Oryzias latipes: one gene and its partner. The protein of the gene in region 2 interacts with the protein of the main gene of each other region in a pairwise test. Links are inferred from orthologs where the notes say so. Each region holds a gene or a part of one and is shown on either strand. Other genes may lie near its edges.

The links.
Region 1: the proteins of nup54 (region 2) and ift20 interact in binary tests that used the Homo sapiens proteins (3 or more experiments, as listed by UniProt). The two-hybrid records come from large-scale screens. The link is inferred for Oryzias latipes from reciprocal best matches to the Homo sapiens genes NUP54 and IFT20.

The regions. Positions count from the first base shown.
Region 1 is NC_019871.2:17,864,544-17,874,060, reverse strand, and holds ift20 (intraflagellar transport protein 20 homolog), read right to left. Parts: upstream 5,534-9,517; 5' UTR 5,401-5,533; intron 4,464-5,400; exon of another isoform or gene 4,350-4,463; intron 3,437-4,349; 5' UTR 3,429-3,436; coding exon 3,302-3,428; intron 3,234-3,301; coding exon 3,148-3,233; intron 2,714-3,147; coding exon 2,610-2,713; intron 2,530-2,609; coding exon 2,448-2,529; 3' UTR 2,122-2,447; downstream 1-2,121. Other genes in the region: lyrm9 (LYR motif-containing protein 9), read left to right, coding at 1,405-1,530, 1,688-1,780, 1,851-1,868. UniProt on the Homo sapiens protein: Part of intraflagellar transport (IFT) particles involved in ciliary process assembly. May play a role in the trafficking of ciliary membrane proteins from the Golgi complex to the cilium.
Region 2 is NC_019870.2:10,473,277-10,482,278, forward strand, and holds the end of nup54 (nucleoporin p54), read right to left. Parts: intron 7,645-9,002; coding exon 7,551-7,644; intron 6,571-7,550; coding exon 6,463-6,570; intron 5,342-6,462; coding exon 5,222-5,341; intron 4,478-5,221; coding exon 4,367-4,477; intron 4,288-4,366; coding exon 4,159-4,287; 3' UTR 3,815-4,158; downstream 1-3,814. Other genes in the region: serine/threonine-protein phosphatase with EF-hands 2, read left to right, coding at 1,302-1,487, 1,574-1,716, 1,851-1,957, 2,062-2,225, 2,457-2,544, 2,643-2,827. UniProt on the Homo sapiens protein: Component of the nuclear pore complex, a complex required for the trafficking across the nuclear membrane.

The DNA of each region.
Region 1 (9,517 bases), on a different chromosome or scaffold from region 2:
CCTGCAGGTGGAGGGTGCGGATCACATGTAGAGGACATGGGAAGAGAGAGATCATGGCTGATTAATGATGAAGCAGCAGCCTGAGCAGCTGGGCCCTCCTCTGGCTGAGGGGTAAGGACATGCAGTGGGAAGGGCACTGTGATGGGTGTAGCGTGGACCGGGCTGGTATTGGAAGTGGGGGGAGTGGGGGTGAAATGTCAAACCTATTAAAAAAGGTATTCAGCTCATTGGCTTTTTCTACACTTTCCCCCACTACTTTGGGTGACCCCCCCCTTCCCCGCTGCCTTGAGATACTGCCTTAAGTGCACTTGCACTTTAATAGCTAATGTTGTAAATTGTCTTTCTTTTCTTTCCTTTTATTTATTTTCTTTTTTCTCTTGAACAGACATGAGAGAGTAAGAAACGGAATTTCGATTCATTGTATGTGATGCACATGTGAAAAATCGACAATAAAGTTGACTTTGTCAGGATATAGAAACTGTGGAAGATTCATATTTATTCATCTTGTAAACCCGTTTTGTCCCTTTCGGGGTCACAGGGCTGCTGGAGCCTATCCTGGCCACTCATGGGCGAAGGCAGGGTACACCCTGGACAGGTCGCCAGTCTGTCACAGGGCCACTATGGAGGATGTAATATTGAAATGTAAATATTATGCAAAGCATAAAGACACACTAAAAACAGATTCAATAAATGAAAATTCCATTGAATATGAAATTTAAAAAAACTAGTAATATATATTTGATCAAATTTTTAAGCAGTACACGCCTGATGGGACAAACATAAAATGCCCTGAGTAGGACATGTCAAATCTATTGACATGATAAAGCCCTCGACCCACCTTCCAGACCAGGTGGTGGCGGTAATGTGCTATTCTTTTGTTTGCCAAGCGACGTAAAACAAAGAAATAGTATTAAGTGTACTATTTGCGCATGCGCATTGTGCTCCCAGCGTAAACAACCGACAGATGTTTTTTTTCCCGTCAGATTAAGTAGCATCGGCTACGTCTTTTTTTTTTTGCATCGGCTACGTCTTCTTCAGGTCTGTGCGGATGCGTGACGTTGTCCACGTTGCGTGATCGGTCGCTGTGGTGAGTGATAGAGTGATACCGTTTTCGCTGGCGACCTACGTACGTCCTAACCCCAAACCAACCTTTTTTTCAAAACCTTTATTTAAAACACCAGAAGACAAACGTTGGGAGAGAATTTCCTTGAGAAAAAACCCGTAATTATCAGGAATTAAAAGAGTCAGGAGATTCACGGGTCTTCGGCCTCCATCAAGCCCTCTCCTCATCACACCAACTAGCTCCATCAACATCCTTTGGGTTTTCTTAATCTTAGCTCCAACCTCTATTACGTTTTTTGGCTCCTACCACTCAGCCTCAAAACCAGGAAGCTCAGAGGTAAGATGCCCCCCTTACCTGGAGCAGAGCTCATCCAGACATCTGTGCAGCTGTACAGGTACCTGCTGAGGTGCTGCAGGCAGCTGCCATCCGCCGCCATGCAACAGCACTACAGGCACGCCATCAGACAGGTGAGCGCTCATCTTTACTCAGGTTAAATGTAAACAATTGTACTTTGGATTTGAACCCTCTGTTGGGGAAATGGGTACACTACCATCTTTCAGTCTCAGGGCAGACACTACCTCTCCACCAATGAGTTAGTGATAGTTTGCTCTTTGTCCTCTGCAGAGCTACAACAGCCATTCTGATGAAAAAGACCCAGAAAGGATCCTCCTCATGATAAACCGGGCTGTGGCAGATGCAGACTGGATCCTGGAGAAGGTAAGGATCATGGGAGCTGTAGTTTAATGCAGTATGTAGTGCAGTCAAATGAACCTGCTTTCCTTTACAGTACTGCCAGGGGAAGTGACCGTGCTACCCTCACCCTCTGTTTCCAAATGTGACAAAGCTTGGGAAGTCCTCAATGTTGCAGCGGCTCAAAAGATCAGCAGGTTTCAGGATGACTCCATGATTTTTTACTAAAAAATAAAGGTCCAGCTTAGTGCCAAAAAGGTTTTTGATGTTTTCCTTTTTTTTTTTCTTTCAGGGGAGGAATGTTGTTTTTGCTACTTATAGTGTTTGAATTGTTTATATATTCATCGTGTCTCTGAAGGAAACAGATCTCATTTGAACATGAAAACTTTATTGTACATCTCAGTTACTCAGCGCCCGCTCCACCCTCCCATGCACAGATGTAAACAGCACCTGCTGAGTCCGACCCAGGTTTGAGTTTCAGTTCATGTCCATGTCAGGATCTTGTGTAGCGGGAAACAAACCAGCCGCCTTGATGAGTGTGTGCTCTCTGAGCAAGGGGGTGGAGGGGTCACAGTGTGACAACACATGTGGGACAAACAGGAAGGTGTCCTGGAGCCTCCCACCACCACCACCCCGACCCCACAGCAGGGTGGCTTAAGCTGTAGGCAGCAGCCTCAGACAGGTGAGTCCCGCCTCACTTTTGCAGGATGAATTGGTTGATGAACTCGCTCTGCTCCGCCTCTACCCGGGAAAGGGCTTCGTACTCCACCCGGTACCTTAAAGAAAGTAGCAGCTGTTAGCAGGGAGCATGGACGCCACTCCTGCAGGATTTAGAGGGGTGGGGGGGGTGGGGTACCTCTCCAGCTGCATCTTCTTCTCAGCAATAAGACCCTTTAGCAGCTGCTGATGCTCCTCCCTCTGCTTCGCCACAGATGTCAGAAGGTTCCTGGCTCCAATGGCCTGCAGGAAGTGATATCAGCCAATGAGGAGCAGTTTTTGTTTGATCGGGTTACTGAATGTTTGACATAAACTAAAAACAGTAAATCAAACGCAGCTCCAGCAGCTTTTCCACCACAACATGTCTGTCAGGAGGAAACTGGGCAGCTTACCAGAAGGTGTTGGAGTTCCTCCAATGTAAATAATGTTAAATAAAAGTTTGGGTCTATTTTACTCATTCCAATTGAATTGTTAAAACTGGTCCAAAAAATCTACAAAAAACAGTTTTTCTTTAATGTGAAGTAAATAGTTTTTTCCTGCTAAAATTGGTTACTTTTATTATAGAATAATTCAACTGGTTAAATCTATTACTTATAGGATTAAGTACTGGGTAACTATAACTGCCAACACTGATGAACTGTAGGTTTTGACCTAACCTGAGAAGAGGGGAGCCTCACCTTCATCTTTTCAGTCTCCGCCTCCTTGGCCAACCCGTCCACTGTGCTGATGAGACCGCCCACAATCTTCTGGAATTGTCCGATCTCTGCAGAGACACAGACCTATAGGAGCTTTGGGTGGGACGGGGTGGACAACAGATCCGTGGATTCTTACTGTCCACAAACTCTCTGCACTCCTCCTTCAGCTCCGCCGTGCTCTGGCTCACATCTGGCTCTAGAACCCGCAGCTTGTTTACCTCGTCAAAGTGGAAGCCAGCTTCAGCCAACGGATCTTTAGCCATGGAGTCTCCTGTGGGTCAAATATTGTGTTATTTCCAAAACTCCTCAAACACTCAGCACCAGTTTAACCACCTGACAGACGCAGGAGTTTGATCCACAATGATAAACACTCTTTATAAAGTCTAAAAAGAAAAAAAACATCTTTTAAAATGAAAAAATTATTATAAAGAGTTGTTTCACATATGGATGAATGTATGTAGGCTAGATTTGACTTTATCCTTTTGGATGTAACGGACACTGAAGGACTTGGGACTGATGCTTACCGTTTCTTCCATTCACCATAATACTTTACTGACCGTACCAGAGTTACCAAACATGCTGATACAGTCCAGTGATGTCTAGCGTCAGCCACAAGTCCAGTTATGGACTGTTAACAACCAGCAGGAGTTTAGAAAGATACAATTACTGCCTTACAGGACAAAGATTGAGAAGTAATTTGAAAGCTTTGCATTTTGGCTTGTCTATTTCTTTAACACAACAGATAAATTCCGCAACTGCATTACTTTAGTCCAGTCCAGTAGGACAAAATAATATAATTTACCATAGTATTATGTACTTGGAAGCTTATGAACAGACCTTCAGTCAGTGTTAAAAGTTTTCAGAAACAAATGGAGGAATGAAGATGTCTGTCCAACATTCCGAAACCGCATAAACAGATGTTTATTTAAATTCAAAACTCTAAAATTGCGCTTAAAAGCTTTTACAAAAATAACGTTTTAGCAAATAAAAATAACACACAAATTACACCCATTCCAATTTGCTTCCACACGCCTCTTCACCTCTGAGCTATGTATTTAAAGTCCTCCACCTTCTTCTCCTCTGCTCCCTGTAACCTCACCGTTCCTCTTTAGTTCCTCTCATTTACACATTCAGTCTTTCTGGAGCTAACCTTCATTCCTCTCCTTTCCTGAACAAACCTTTACCTCTCTAAAGTGTTCCTCCTTCTGCTCCCTGCGCTCACTACAGATCCACAGGTCATCTGCAGACATCACGCTCCACAGAGATTCCTGTCAGTCCTTCTGTCAGTCTGTCTAGCACTACAGCAAACAAAAAGGATTAAAGCTGATCCTTGGTGCAGTCCAACCTCCATCCCCCCTGAACAGATGAGTTCAGGATGGATTAATCTGATTAATAATAATAATAACAATAATAATGAAGTGTTTGTGGCAGTTTGCGTAATTGTGTGGCTCTGTTATACCCTCTCTACATCCAAAAAGCGTCAGAAACAAAATATACATTGTTTAGTTTTTGAGCTGGGCTAGACTTTTAAACATTAAAATTAGTGAAATGCTGCCTCCAGCGGTCTTTCATAGCACTGCAGTGTTGGGTACTTCCTGGTTTCGGGGGGGGGGGGGGGGGGTAGTGTTACTGTACAAATTGTTTTCATCTTTATTGTGAATCTTAGTCCATTTAGCACCAATTCAATGAATGAAGATTATTTATTTTAATTTCTACATTTACACCTAAACAACCCCCCTTCATGTTTTTAACCACGTTAAATGATTATCGCGCCGTTCAAAGCTGTAATCCATGCCACAAGAATTGTTTTGGTGACTAATCTGCACACATTGTTTGTGTATTTTAGATAATAAAGTTTTCTTTAAAAAAAAATCTATGGGTGACGTCACAAGCATCGATTTTCTACACTACAGTAAGAAAATACGTCAAAAATAAATGAATAAATAAGCAACAAACTCAGACTAGATCTGAGTAAACAAGAACGTTGAGTTTTTCTGTCCCGGCGACCTCAAAAAATGCCTCTAAACTTGGAGCTCCACAGTCTCAGACTTTGGCAGAAGTGTTTGTACACGTTGTATGAACCTCTCAACCATCTTTTTTTCCCCTCTTCGATTTTTTGCGGCTAACAGCTAACGAGCTAATACGTAGGAGATGACAAATTAACAGCTGTTAGCCTCCGTTAACCATTCGTAAAGAATAGTAAACTAAACTTTGGTTGTGGAAACGGACACTCACCTTAATAAACCCCTGACGTTACTCTGCACGGCTCCGGTCCTCCTCATAAGGGGTCCTACTAAGACGTTCCGCCTCTTCCTCCTCCTGCTACCAAGGCAACCGCACAAAGCGCCACTACGCGTGCGCACTAGCTTACCGCCGACCTCTGGTGGTACACATTCTCGAGAAGTCTTTTTCACGTGTTTCTGATATTATCGTTCATTTAAAAACAAGAATCAATTTACAGTCAGTTTTAAAGCCACCATGTGCGCGTGCAATCATCAGGTTCATCCTCATAGTTAAACCAGGTTAGGCTAAACACCCCAGTAGGTAGACCCACCCAGCGGTAGAAGTTTAGACAAGTCTGGTTCCTTTCGCAAGTTCAAACGTCATGACTGGATGAAGAGATAAGCTCAAAGAACCAACTAGTTCTTTATGAATTGAGATGATAAGACATTTTTTAAAAGACATTTTCGTTCACTCATAAGAACACTTTAAAATGTACAGACATGGATGATGTGGCTTCACTGAAACTTCAAGTGGAAATGAGCAGCAGCTATCTAGACCAGCTGGAGGCGCCAGAGGGGAGCCCATCTGCCTGAGATACATTGTTACAGTGATCCAACGGGGATGTAATGAAAGCATGGAATACTGTTTTATGTTTTTTTTTGGAAAAAATGCACAACTGACATCTCTCTTTTCCCCTTCTTGACCAATTGCAAATTTGTCACATGCAAGATATGACACAAAATCAATACAAGTGTAACATACAAAGAGGATGCACACATGCTTTCATCAGTAGTACATACCTTAAAATCGTAGATTTTTATCAAGGTGTTTATGGGCTGTGTTAAATTTAAAACTAATACAAACACTAAAGAAAAAATATATCCCATTCAGAGTATGTTTTCCTGCATAAAAAACTTTCTTAAGCAGGAAAAAACTAGAAAATCAGATCAACAACTATCAGTATCATTTAAACGCTTTATTAAAGAACACTGTCCCAAAAGTCCCCTTTTTGCAGCATTACTCAGATATTACACCTTTCCGTCAAAACCTTTCATCCTGTATCTGTTCATCCCCTAGTTCTTCTCTGAGACTTCCACTGCAGGAGATAGAAAAAAAAATTATGCATTTGTTAATTAGGCCTTTCATGGAAAACATGGAGGAGTTTTATGGCTGGGGGGGGGGGGGGGGAATCGGAGAACTACTGAGTGCTGCTGGAGTTGTTAATAGCTACAAACATGCTCAGCTGAGGCGGATTGTGAAGCTGGCTCAGGTTCATGTCAATGTAGTTGGAGGCTTCTCAGATAGATCAGGAAGCTTTCATCCTGATATGTCTTGTAGCTGCTGCTCACTGTTAGATTTTTTGTTTTTATTGTTATTACTGCTCTGCACTGGATTATCTCATGGTGTGGATTGGTGGACGATTTACCTGGTTTGTTCTTACCTGGACTTTATTGGCACTGTTGCCTAAAAGCTGAAGTACCCAGCCTCTAAACTCCTCCAGGTACATAATCACCCACATGGACTTCCACTACCTTCACTAAACCTCCACCCAGATATAGCTCTCCGTCTCTGTATAGGAGGGATGGCTCAGTTGCCTGCATGCAGCACTGGCACCTGGGAAACCAGGGGGGGGGGGGGGGGGGGGGGGGGGGGGGGGGGGCGAAGAGCTTCATCCAGTCCTTGGATCCTTGGGAAAAACTCTTGGATGAGTGCTAGACCCTCTTTGCTACTTCCTATCTATGTATAGGCTTGTATCAATAAGGGCATCCGGTGTAAAAATCTCTGCCTAACCGCTTCCTTTGGAGATGCATTACTATGAGAAGTACAAAGGCCTGCTGGTCCCGGTACCTCTGTTTTCCACATTTGAACTATGAATGTATAAATATACCTTCACACCACCCTCAGCAACGTACCTTCAAGCACTTTCAATGAAAAGTCCAGACGCGTCTGTAGACTTGTTTACATATATGTACTGCATATGGAATGTGCATTTCAGGCTTCCTTGGTCAAAACTCTCGCGTTCACACGTAGCTACGCACATTTTAAGACCATTTTTGGGCTCTACGTACAAAACATGTGGCCATTGGACTTGCGTTGAAAGTTAAACCAGTTGAACTTTGACCACTCAGGGATCTACTTTTGGTAGTGATGTATAGATGGCATCCTTTCCAATTTACAGAAGTTCCTACAGTTTAAAAATTGATCACGGAAGAGAGATTAATAATTGTGCTGGAATTATGTGACAGCAAGTCTTTCATATATCATTCAGTTTTTGTGTCTTATTTACTTAAAGAATAAAGGTTTAAGTGTCTCTGTCCAACCAATATTTGGACGCCACCTGAGGTCAGATCTGCACCTCACAAGCCTGACTATAGCACCCCACCGTGTCAACAAGACATCAGTCACACCACTTAAAATGAGTAACAGGAGTTATCACATCACACCACTTATTTCAATTCCAAAAGATAGATGACAAAAGGAAAATGTAGTTGGTTGCTGTGATTGTTTTGTTGCTGTTCCCATGCAGTTCTCATTGCGGCACCATTTCCTGGACCCAAGAACAACATGGTTGTGATGTTTGCAAAAAAGACAAGTTGGATGTCAAACTTCCAAACATGACAACAAAAAGGTCAGTCTTGTTGGCAGGTAAATTCAAGTATCTCCTTGAAATTTGGTTTGACAAGACAAAATTTAATATCAGATCTTTAATATAATGACCCAAGAATGTCACAATAAAATGAATACAAACTGCATGTTAGAGACCCAGAGACACAGTGTCTATATGGCACCAGAACTGACAATAACATGAGTTTTACGCAGAACTGGGGTAGGAGAGCAATCAATCCCCAGACACGTTATTGGCATAAAACAACAGAATAACATAATTTGTCTGCAATTTAATATATTATCTACTTGGAAGTTTATGAACAGAACTTCTGTGTTAAAGTCCTCGCGAACAACTGAAGGGATATAGATATCTGTCCAACATTATGAAACCGCTTAAACAGATGTTTATTTCAATTTAAAACTCTAATATTGTGAAACTCTAAAAATGGTTCTCCATCTGCTTCCTGCTCTCACTACAGATCCACAGGTCACCTGCAAACACCATGGCCCACAGAGATACCCGTTTAACATCCTCTGTCAGTCTGTCCATCACCACAGCAAACAAGAAGAATCAAAGCTGATCCTTAGGTCAACTTGTCTGTTAGACCCAATTCCCACTAGACTTTTTAAATAAACTTTTCCCCTAATTAAAGATTCCATATTAACAATGATAAATACCTCTCTGGAAACGGGTTACGTGCCACAGTCTTTTAAATATGCAGTTGTTAAACCTCTTCTGAAAAAGCCCAGTTTAGATCCTAACAACTTGGCCAACTATAGACCAATATCAAACCTCCCCTTTATTTCTAAAATCCTAGAAAGAGTTGTAGTTAACCAGCTTTACTGCCACCTACAGGACAACAGCCACTTTTAAGACTTTCAGTCGGGGTTTAGACCCCACCACAGCACGCAAACTGCACTAGTTAGAGTCTCTAATGACTTGTTATTGGCCTCAGAAAAGGGACTACTTTCTATTTTGGTCCTGTTAGACCTCAGTGCAGCCTTTGACACTATCGTCCACGGTATTTTACTCCATAGATTAGAGCAGGACATAGGGATCAGAGGATCTGCTCTCCACTGGTTTAAATCCTATCTGTCCGATAGGTATCAGTTCGTTAATGTAAATGGCCATTCCTCTCAGTGCACTCGAGTCCCACAGGTCCTATGGAGTCCCACAGGGCTCAGTCTTATGACCCTTCCTGTTAACGCTTTATATGCTACCCCTAGGAAACATAATCAGGAAACACAGCATTCATTTTCATTGTTATGCCGACGATATGCAGTTGTATTTATCCATGAAACCTGAAAACCATGAAAACTGAATGCCTGCATCAGAGACATCAAGACCTGGATGACAATTAATTACCTCCTCTTGAACCCAGAAAAAACTGAGGTCATTATACTTGGTCCTAAAAACCTCAGAGATACTCTGTCTGCTCAGATAGTCTCCCTGGATGGTGTAAGTATAGCCCCCAATTCCACAGTTAGAAACCTTGGGGTTTTATTTGACCAGGATTTATAA
Region 2 (9,002 bases):
TTAAAAAAATGTCAGATTTAATTTTTGTTTATTATTTTTTAATTTGGGTTTTGTTGTTTTTGAAGCTGTTTTAATAGTTGTTGATAATGTCCTTCCTTATTACTTAAAAAATTGGACATTATTGATCGTTTTCAGTGGGCAACACTTTGGTTTCACACTAAAATAAATAGCCAAACTTTACAACAAAAACACCAGCTATAAAAAAAATTAACATTTATTTTCTGTGACTAGATTATATAGTTATGGAGATAGTTTTTGTTTAAAAAAATGTACCAACAAATATCCGCTCTACAACAGCTTTACTGAGCAACTAATGACTCTTAGTTAAATGATCAGGTGACCTGTTGGTTTCCACCAGTTTGAGTGAAAACCAGCTTTTCAGCTCTACGGTCTTCAATATTTAGACGTGCCAAATCCAAGCCTTTCCCTAAAGCAAAATATAGAAATATTTGTTGAAAAAAACAGAGTAAAGCTGTTGCAAAACTGAGGACAGACTAGATTTTTAACAAGTTCCTAGTGGTCATTAGGAAAATTGCACCTTGTTTCATTCATATTTATTTTTTAACGTACTTCATTCTTAAAGTCCATTTTAGGTAGCAACAATTATCAAGCTTTTTCTTATCTTTCAAAATGATATGATGACACTAAAGTTATTGTTGAAGAAGGCTATTTATTGGGCAAAAGGTAGCCACATCAACAAGCTATCTCCTGTGAAGAAGTTGTTGGTTCTCCTTGCGTGCAAACCCTGCTGAGGCTGTTAGATATTCATATGATTGTTTTGTTCTCTGTCTGTGATATTGGTTGTGATGTGTTATAATTACGGTAATTACGGTTCCATGACCTCACAAATTCATCAAGTTTGAAAATGTTCTTTGAATGGGCAAAAAAAAAATGTTCCAGTGGGGTAAAAAATTTTTACTTTAAGAACAACACCTCTAGTCTCTAAGACGTGTTTTCTTAAACTAAGACTATTTTGCAATGGAAATACTTTCTTGATAAGGTTATCTTCTTGCAAAAATAAGACATTTCTTTTAAACAAAGGTCTTTTTACCTTATAGTCTTTTTAGTGTATTGTCTTTTTATGAGTCTAATTTGTGCAGGTGTTGTAGCACAACAGATGACAAACCAGGATCTAATGGAAAATGTTCCTAGAAGTTTCTTTTTGCAGTATTGTCGTAAAAAAATGAGATTTTCTTGATAAGCAGACTTTAACTAACTTTTTCTACGTATTCAGTTTTTCTAATAAAGAAATGTCAACCTGCATACCATCACTCGATTCAAGGTCTAAAACTTTCACTCAGATAGTGAACCTGTTGTGGAGTGATCCCATGCCCCAAAACGGATGCATTTCCAATGAGGTGCGAGGTGGGGGCTGCTACTGGGGCCCTGATGTTACAGAGGAGGTGCTGGGAAGACACAACCTGCAGCTTCTCATCCGTTCCCACGAGTGCAAACAGGATGGCTACGAGTTCTGCCACAACCGCAGGGTGAGCACAAAGAGGACACTTATGGGAGGAAAGTATGGAGGTCAGAGTTAGCAGTCATGATACTCTGTTTCTTCTTTCTCATGCAGGTGCTCACAATATTTTCAGCCTCCAACTATTATGAAGTGGGCAGTAACAGAGGGGCTTACATCAGAATGGGAGCTGATCTGGTTCCGCACCTCATTCAGTACCAGGCCAGCAGGACGTGCAGAGAACTCACCCTGAGACAGAGGTACACACACGAGTTGCTGTTCGACAAATAAAGCCACATGTTAAACATTTTTGCACAATAAATCAATAAAATCAATGTGACATTTAAAAACATTTCAGATTGAGGCTAAATTACAATATCTTTTTTTTTGCCAGTGTGGGTTGGACGGAGAGATCAGCCCTGAGAGCTTTGAGAGAGCAGCTGTTTGTGCACAAATCAGATCTCATCAGGGCTTACCAGGAGTTCGATCCTCATCAAACAGGTACAGCCACAAATGGCCCCTTTGGGCCTCCTTAGTCCCTTTGACTCAAACCGACCACTCACCAGGTTTTACTTGCTCTCCTGTGTCTTCACGTTTGACCTTAGGGAAGATCTCGATGAGACACTGGGCGAGTGCTACAGAGAGCGTGCTGAAGCTGGGTTTGCCCTGGAGGGTGCTGCGCTCTCAGCTTGTCAGCAGAACCCACTATGGCATGGTGGATTACCAGCAGTGGATAAAGGAGTTGTCCATCACTGAGCCCAAACTAGAGGTGTTTTATTATTATATTTATTTTTTAATTTAATTCAGTTTAGGTGTTTTTAAGGTTCACCACTGATATTGCTTAAAGGAGCTACACAAAAGAGAAAAAACGTTCAAGTGAAAACAACAATTGTGATAGAGGAATTTCAAATATACTTCCGTTTTATTCAAATTCAGTGTGCCGGTAGATCATTCTTCTTATAGTGTTGCAGAAAAACCATACATTTGATCCCGTTTGCAGGTTTCAGACACCAGTATCCTGGAAACCATGTACAAAAACCACTCCAATTTGGAAACCATCTTCCGCATCATCGACACGGATCACTCAGGTGAGGGACAGCGACACGACACTTATTTTCAAGGCTGATCTGCCCACACTTCAGGCTGTGACAAGCCAAACGGCACTCGGTGTACCACTCTCCTCCAGGTTTGATCTCTTTGGAGGAGTTTCGTCAGACTTGGAAGCTCCTGAGTTCTCATCTCAAGATGGAGATCAGCGACAAAGCAATCGCCGACCTGGCTCACAGCATCGACTTCAACAAGGACGGCAGCATTGACATCAACGAGTTCATGGAGGCCTTCCGGTTGGTGGACCTGTCTGCACACAGCTGAACGCCTGAAACGGGAGCAGCACTGAACTGCAGACTGGATTATAAGGATCCATCTATAGAACATTAGTAGATTAAGTAAGTGGATCTGGTGTTATCTAGATGTTTTCTACCTCAAAGTTGTTATTTTTTACCATCTTTATTTTTTTAAAATCTCATCTGAGTGAACATTTGTTTTCTTAATAAACAAGAAATAAACCTTTTGTGTTCAAGCAATTAATTGTGTCATTCGTTTTAATCGGGTAATTCAACACACTCAAGCTTCTTTGGTGGCCTTGAAAAAAAAAAGTCATGTTGCATAAGAACCTTTGTTGTTCTAGAATAAGAAAAACTGAATTAATCAGTTAAATGGAGCTTTAAAAACTGTTCTAGTAAGTGAACCTTTTTGCAGTGGCTAAACTCTGTCTTTCAGATTTGCTTTTTATTAATACATTTGATTGAAAATTAAGTGCCTGATAGTTTTAAGTCAACAGGATGAAAAGGGAAAATCGCTTTACATAAAAAAAAGATTTATTAGAAAAAACTAAAAACAAAAATCACTGTATATGTTTTGACAAAAACCAATAAAAATCTCCATTTTTAAAAATTTCTCAATATTGTGCAGACTAACTGAATAAATTGGGTTTCGTTATTGTATTAAATTCTGCATTTCCTCCCACGTCTCTGGTTGGTAAAACCTGCAAACCGACTGTGGTGCAAACCCTTAAGATGCATGGGTGACCCGACTACATGTGGGGGTTCTAATCTGCTTGAAAGCTGCCTAACCAGTCCAGCTGCCAATCAGTCTTTTCATCCCTGCAGGGATGCAAAGCCTAAATGTAAATCCTATCAACTCAAGCCCTGCTTTGATGAGATATAGAAAAGTGGAAGTCTGCAGGTAAACAATGGTGTCAGGTGTACCATAGTTTAAATATAAGGTAAGCAGAAATGCAAGGAAGTAGATAAACATTTAGTTCATATTACAGCATCTAGTTACTACAAAAACAGACCATTAAAGGTTTAGAATTTAAATTTATTAGTATTCTAATAGTTAAAAAAAATACAAAGATGTATTTACATCTTGACACACTTAACACCTCTTTGTTTACAAAGCACTGGCAGTCACATGTGCATAATCTGATTGACGTGGCTATTATTAGACACTGATCATTCCATTGAGCTGTCTGTATCAATCCAGATTACGCAGTCGTTTTGCTGTACTGATTGGAAAGCCCGGGATTTTTTTTCTGCAACGAGCAAATCTGAAGATCGCAAAATAGAATGGTCTGGAAGAAAGATGTTCTGCTTTTCAAAATAAAGGGTCAGAGTGTGTGAAGAGGCTTTGAGAGGTTGGAATCAGCTCAGGATGCCCCCTCTCATGTGTCCACTGTCGCTCAGCCCATGCTCTATTAATTTGATGTCTTCCAGGTCATCTTTAATGACGCTGATCAGATGACTCAGACCTTCCTGCTGCTGCTTCAAGTGCTGCATGACGGAAAGAAGAAGACGCTTAGCGACAAATTATAGACAGTCGTACAAGCAAATGAGTGACAGGATCCCTCACTTGTTTGATTTCTCGGAGCAGGTCTGCATCCACACTGTAGCGCTCTTCTGACCTCACAGCTCCAAAGTGGTTCTGCATTCGGATTTGGGACATTAATTCATTCAGCCGACCCTTAATGAGAGGAGGGAAACAGTTATTGGTGGGTTTTCACAAAGGCAGTTTGATCTCCAACAGTACTTTAGATTTACAAACATGACAGACTTTACAAAAACGAAAAAGATTGGCAAAGACTTATTTCTTAAGAAATGAAATAATTGCTGTTTTTTAAGCTATTTAGACTCATCTACGTCCACGAAACCACCAAACAGCAGCAGATACGCAAAGATGGACTAAAATTATTCAAAGATTAATAACACGGGTTGTGTCCAAATTCCCTCACTACTCACCACTTGGTGCAATTTTTTGGGATTTTTGAATCTACAATTCCAAAATCAAGTGCCCTGGAAATTTCCAAGAAGTCTCTCCGAGAAACTAGTGTGCATCGCTGCTCACTAGATTGGCGAATATCGACCACAATGAACTGCATTTGAACAATTTTTCATTTAAAAAAAAAAAGTGTTTTACATTCATTTTGTATAAACCCTCAAAGTTTTTCTCATCAGAACACAGTGGATTCATAAAAAGTCTTTGTAAAATATCAATAGTTATTAAGTTTGCTGTTCAAAAAAATGCAGTAAGCATGTTAACTCCAGAACCATAGATAGCCCTTTAGTAGTTAGGGAGTAGTGAGGCAACATAGCTATTTCTATTGTCAAATGCAGCTTTATAAAGTTACAAATTTAGACCCATTTTGTCTACTTCCAGACCAAAGCCTTCAGTGAGAGTAGCTTCCTGCTCCAGTTTGCAGAGACTTGCCTTGAACTGTGTGGGGGCATTGAGTTCGGACTGAATGGTGTCCAGCTGCACTCGGAGATGCTCCTCGTCCACTTGGATTGCGTAGCCACTTTTCCTTTGAATCTCCTGTTTGATCAAAACCTTCCAGGAAAACATGGCAATGATACACAGGACAGTGTTGCCGAGCGGAGATAAATGCAAGCAGTGCCAAAACATTCAAATGTGATAGAATATACAGATGGGATTCATCAGTTTACTTGGAAGAATAGTACCGGACAACATTAAAACCTTCAGAGAGAAAGAATGTAGGACAGAGGGCCTCTGAGCCTCCACACAAACACTTCTCTCAGCTTTATGGAGATTTTGCCAGGAACGCCAGTTCAGTGGGATTTCACCTGATCATCAACAACAGCTGCAAGATTACAGACTTGAAGAAAGATTCATTATTCAGTCTCTGCAGCAGGTGAACAAAAAGTCCAAACAGCGGCTCTCATTTAAAAATCCATTTTCAACCCCTTCCACGCACTTTTTTATAGCTACGGTTTCTTATCAGAAAACATCACCTTTCTTAAGTCAAATTATAGGACTGCCCAAACAAACAAAAGTGTGATTTCCAGTATTAATAGAAAAAAAATCAGGAAAATGATTGGAAATTGGGCCTGATCATTTACAATCGCCACTCGCATTCCAAACAGGGATTGGATATTTATTTGAATCTTTTTATGATCAGTGGTATATGCTGCAGGCTCATTATTACAACGTAATACTCCATTAGAAGTCTTTATATCATGAAAGGATCCTGACATTGCCAGAAAGTGTATAGAATACGGCATTAGCTTGGGCAGGAGGTGCACAAAAACAGTTTGGTCAAGGTGGCGAGATAACCCCAGATTTGGACTTGCGAGATAAATACCTCGTATGAAAATCTTTTAAACTGACAGCAAGTGTCTTTACTAGCTTGTCTCAACTCTTCTTTGTCCATCTCAAGTTTTTATGTTTTGAATATATTCTCAAAAATCTTTGTTTTTTTCCTCGCAGGATAATGTCTGGACTTTCTGGCGATTCTTGCAAAAATGCAGCTCAGAGCAGATCAGCTGTTGAAAAGAACCAGCTCTGAGGTTTTTGATCTAAAGAACTTTTAAGGCACTTAAAAAAACAAAAACTCTAACAAGCTCTAAATAAAAGAATTACTGATACCGACAGTCTGATACAGACATCTCTGTAATTACAATTTAGTCTAATCTGATAAATGTGGACGCTACCTGCAGCACCCTGTGAGACAGATCCATCAGTTTCCTCTTGTATTGAGCGATTTTGGCCACGGTTGTAGCCTGGTTCTTCTGCAGTTCACTGATGTCATTCGATATAATCTGCAATTTCAAACAACAATGCACTGGATTTTTTGCGTTTTAATAGTTCTTAATGCTAAAAACTACCAGCATCACACCTGGAGTTCCTCTCAAAGTTTCTTCAAGCATAATAATAATTTGTTTTGTTTAGACCTGCACAATAAATAGCAAATTTGTCATTATAGTGATGTCAAGCTATGCAATATTCGTATAAAAAAAGATGGCAAAAATTCCAATAAATATTTACCTTAAATGTGCTACAACAATCTCATGCCAGCTTGAAGAATTTAATGGATCATAAAATGCCTTTTTGCATTTGACCAATCAGAAGTACTCCTTTACATAATTAACCAATCGCATGGAGCCCTTTTAAGTTAGATGTTTGCCTCCCATGTAGACGAGGGTCATTGGAAGAATAATTTAAGTTATGTTGACTCTTATTTAAATTAAACTGTAGCAGTGAAATGGAAATTCTGTACTTAGTTGTTTCGCAATTTCTTCATGCATCGCAAATTATATCGTCATCGCAATGTTGATCAATAATATCACAAATCATGAGTTTTCCTCATATTGTGCAGTCCTAGTTTTGTTCCACCAAGTTGTATCAGTTTTTAAATGATTCGAATTACATTATTAAACTTCTTTTTATAATAATATTGGATTATCTTCCAATCCAAAACTAATCTGTAAATAATGACTCCATTTAAAATCACCATATTTAGGGTGGTTAACTGAATAGTTAAAAGCATTATTCTAAAGCTAGTGTGTACACGTTTTATGAAATACATTGTCAATTTTGAACCCCCCGGTGAAAACACCTGCAGCTGTATTTGTAAAAATAACTTCAAAATAAAAAACAAACAGTTGGCAGCGAGCGCGAACATCTGCGCTCGGGCCTTGACCACAGTTTCAGAATTCCTGCGTTGATATCAGATGGTTTTGTGCACCGGTACTTCTAAAACGGCAACCAAGAGCCACAAACTATTTTTCATCTCACTCACATCCACTCTGGTCTGGTGCTGTTTGGTCATCTGTTCCTGGATCTGCAACCTGCGCAGCAGCTCTTTAAATCCAACCATGGGCACTGGGAATAACCTGAAAGAAGAGACGAACGTCTGGAAATTACTTCTTAACTGACCAAAAAGTAGAAAATGAACCTGTTAGAATTACGTTTATGTAATGTCTGTGCAGCTGTCTTCCATTGGCCCGGCTCTGCCTCTGGATTATGGCACGCTCTCATCATTTTATTAACTTTATGAAGCACTTTTCATGTCAAAATTTCTAAAAGTACTTTACTTTCTCCAAATGCAATAAAATACACACACAAAAAAGTAAAAAATTAAAAATAGGTGGGTGGACTTTAAACACTGTCATCTATATTTCATAAAGTAAAACTAATTTAGATGAAAAATGTAGCAAAAAGATGCAAAACTGTAATTATGATTAAAACTGGAATATTACAAACTCTAAAAAGGAGTAGCTTCATTTAACTTTATAAACTCATGGAATAGTACTTGAATTAAAAAATGAAAGAAAGATTTAAAGGCGTGAAAGTAACCCAATGTTTAAATCAAAGTCCATTAGCTGTTACGCAGTGAGGTGTAGACATTTTATGTCTGCATTTGACCCATGCTTTGGCGGAGCGCTGAGCTGAAAACAGCGTAGTTTCTTACGGAGTCACAAAATGTTATTGTTAGATGCTTAAGATCGTTTTTGACACTCTCAGCCTCAGGACCAAAGATTAAATTCTGCATTTTGCCCGGGTTTAGCTGCATCCATACTTTAATTTCAAAGTGAAAAAATGAAATGAAAAAATTGGGACCTTAAAAAGAACCTTGTGGTGCACCACATGGCTTATAGAGGACTCAAATATAAATAAGTCTATCAGTGAGATAAAATTCAAACCAATCAAACTCCATCCAAGTCATGTGATCAACTGTGCTGAGGTCAACCCCTTGACTGATGCCATCTTTGACCCATCATGACTTCAAACCTGGCTGGAACATCTCAACTGCATACAGCTAATTAAAAAAATGTTTTTAACAAACTCCATGATCTAACTTTAACATTAATCCATATCCTAAGCATTTTAACGTTGGGAGTGCTCTGAACCTTTTTTCTTCAATGATTTATGATCTTCACTGGTGTCCATGGATTACATGAAATCTTTCCACCATCTCAACTGCTCTTCAGAGTGGGTCTCACTACGGCTGTCAGTAACCCTTGTGCTATCCTAGGCACTTTAACATTGGCAGTTGGGTCATCTAGACCCCACAAGAGAGTGCACTGAACCTTTTTTCTTCAATGATTTGTGATCTTCACTGGTGTCCATGGATTACATGAAATCTTTCCACCTTTATCCACCTTTGTCATGGTAGGGAGAACACGTCAATGCAACGGTTGGGGTCATCTAAGATAGCACGAGGGTTAAGAGGACTGAGAAGAGTCCAACC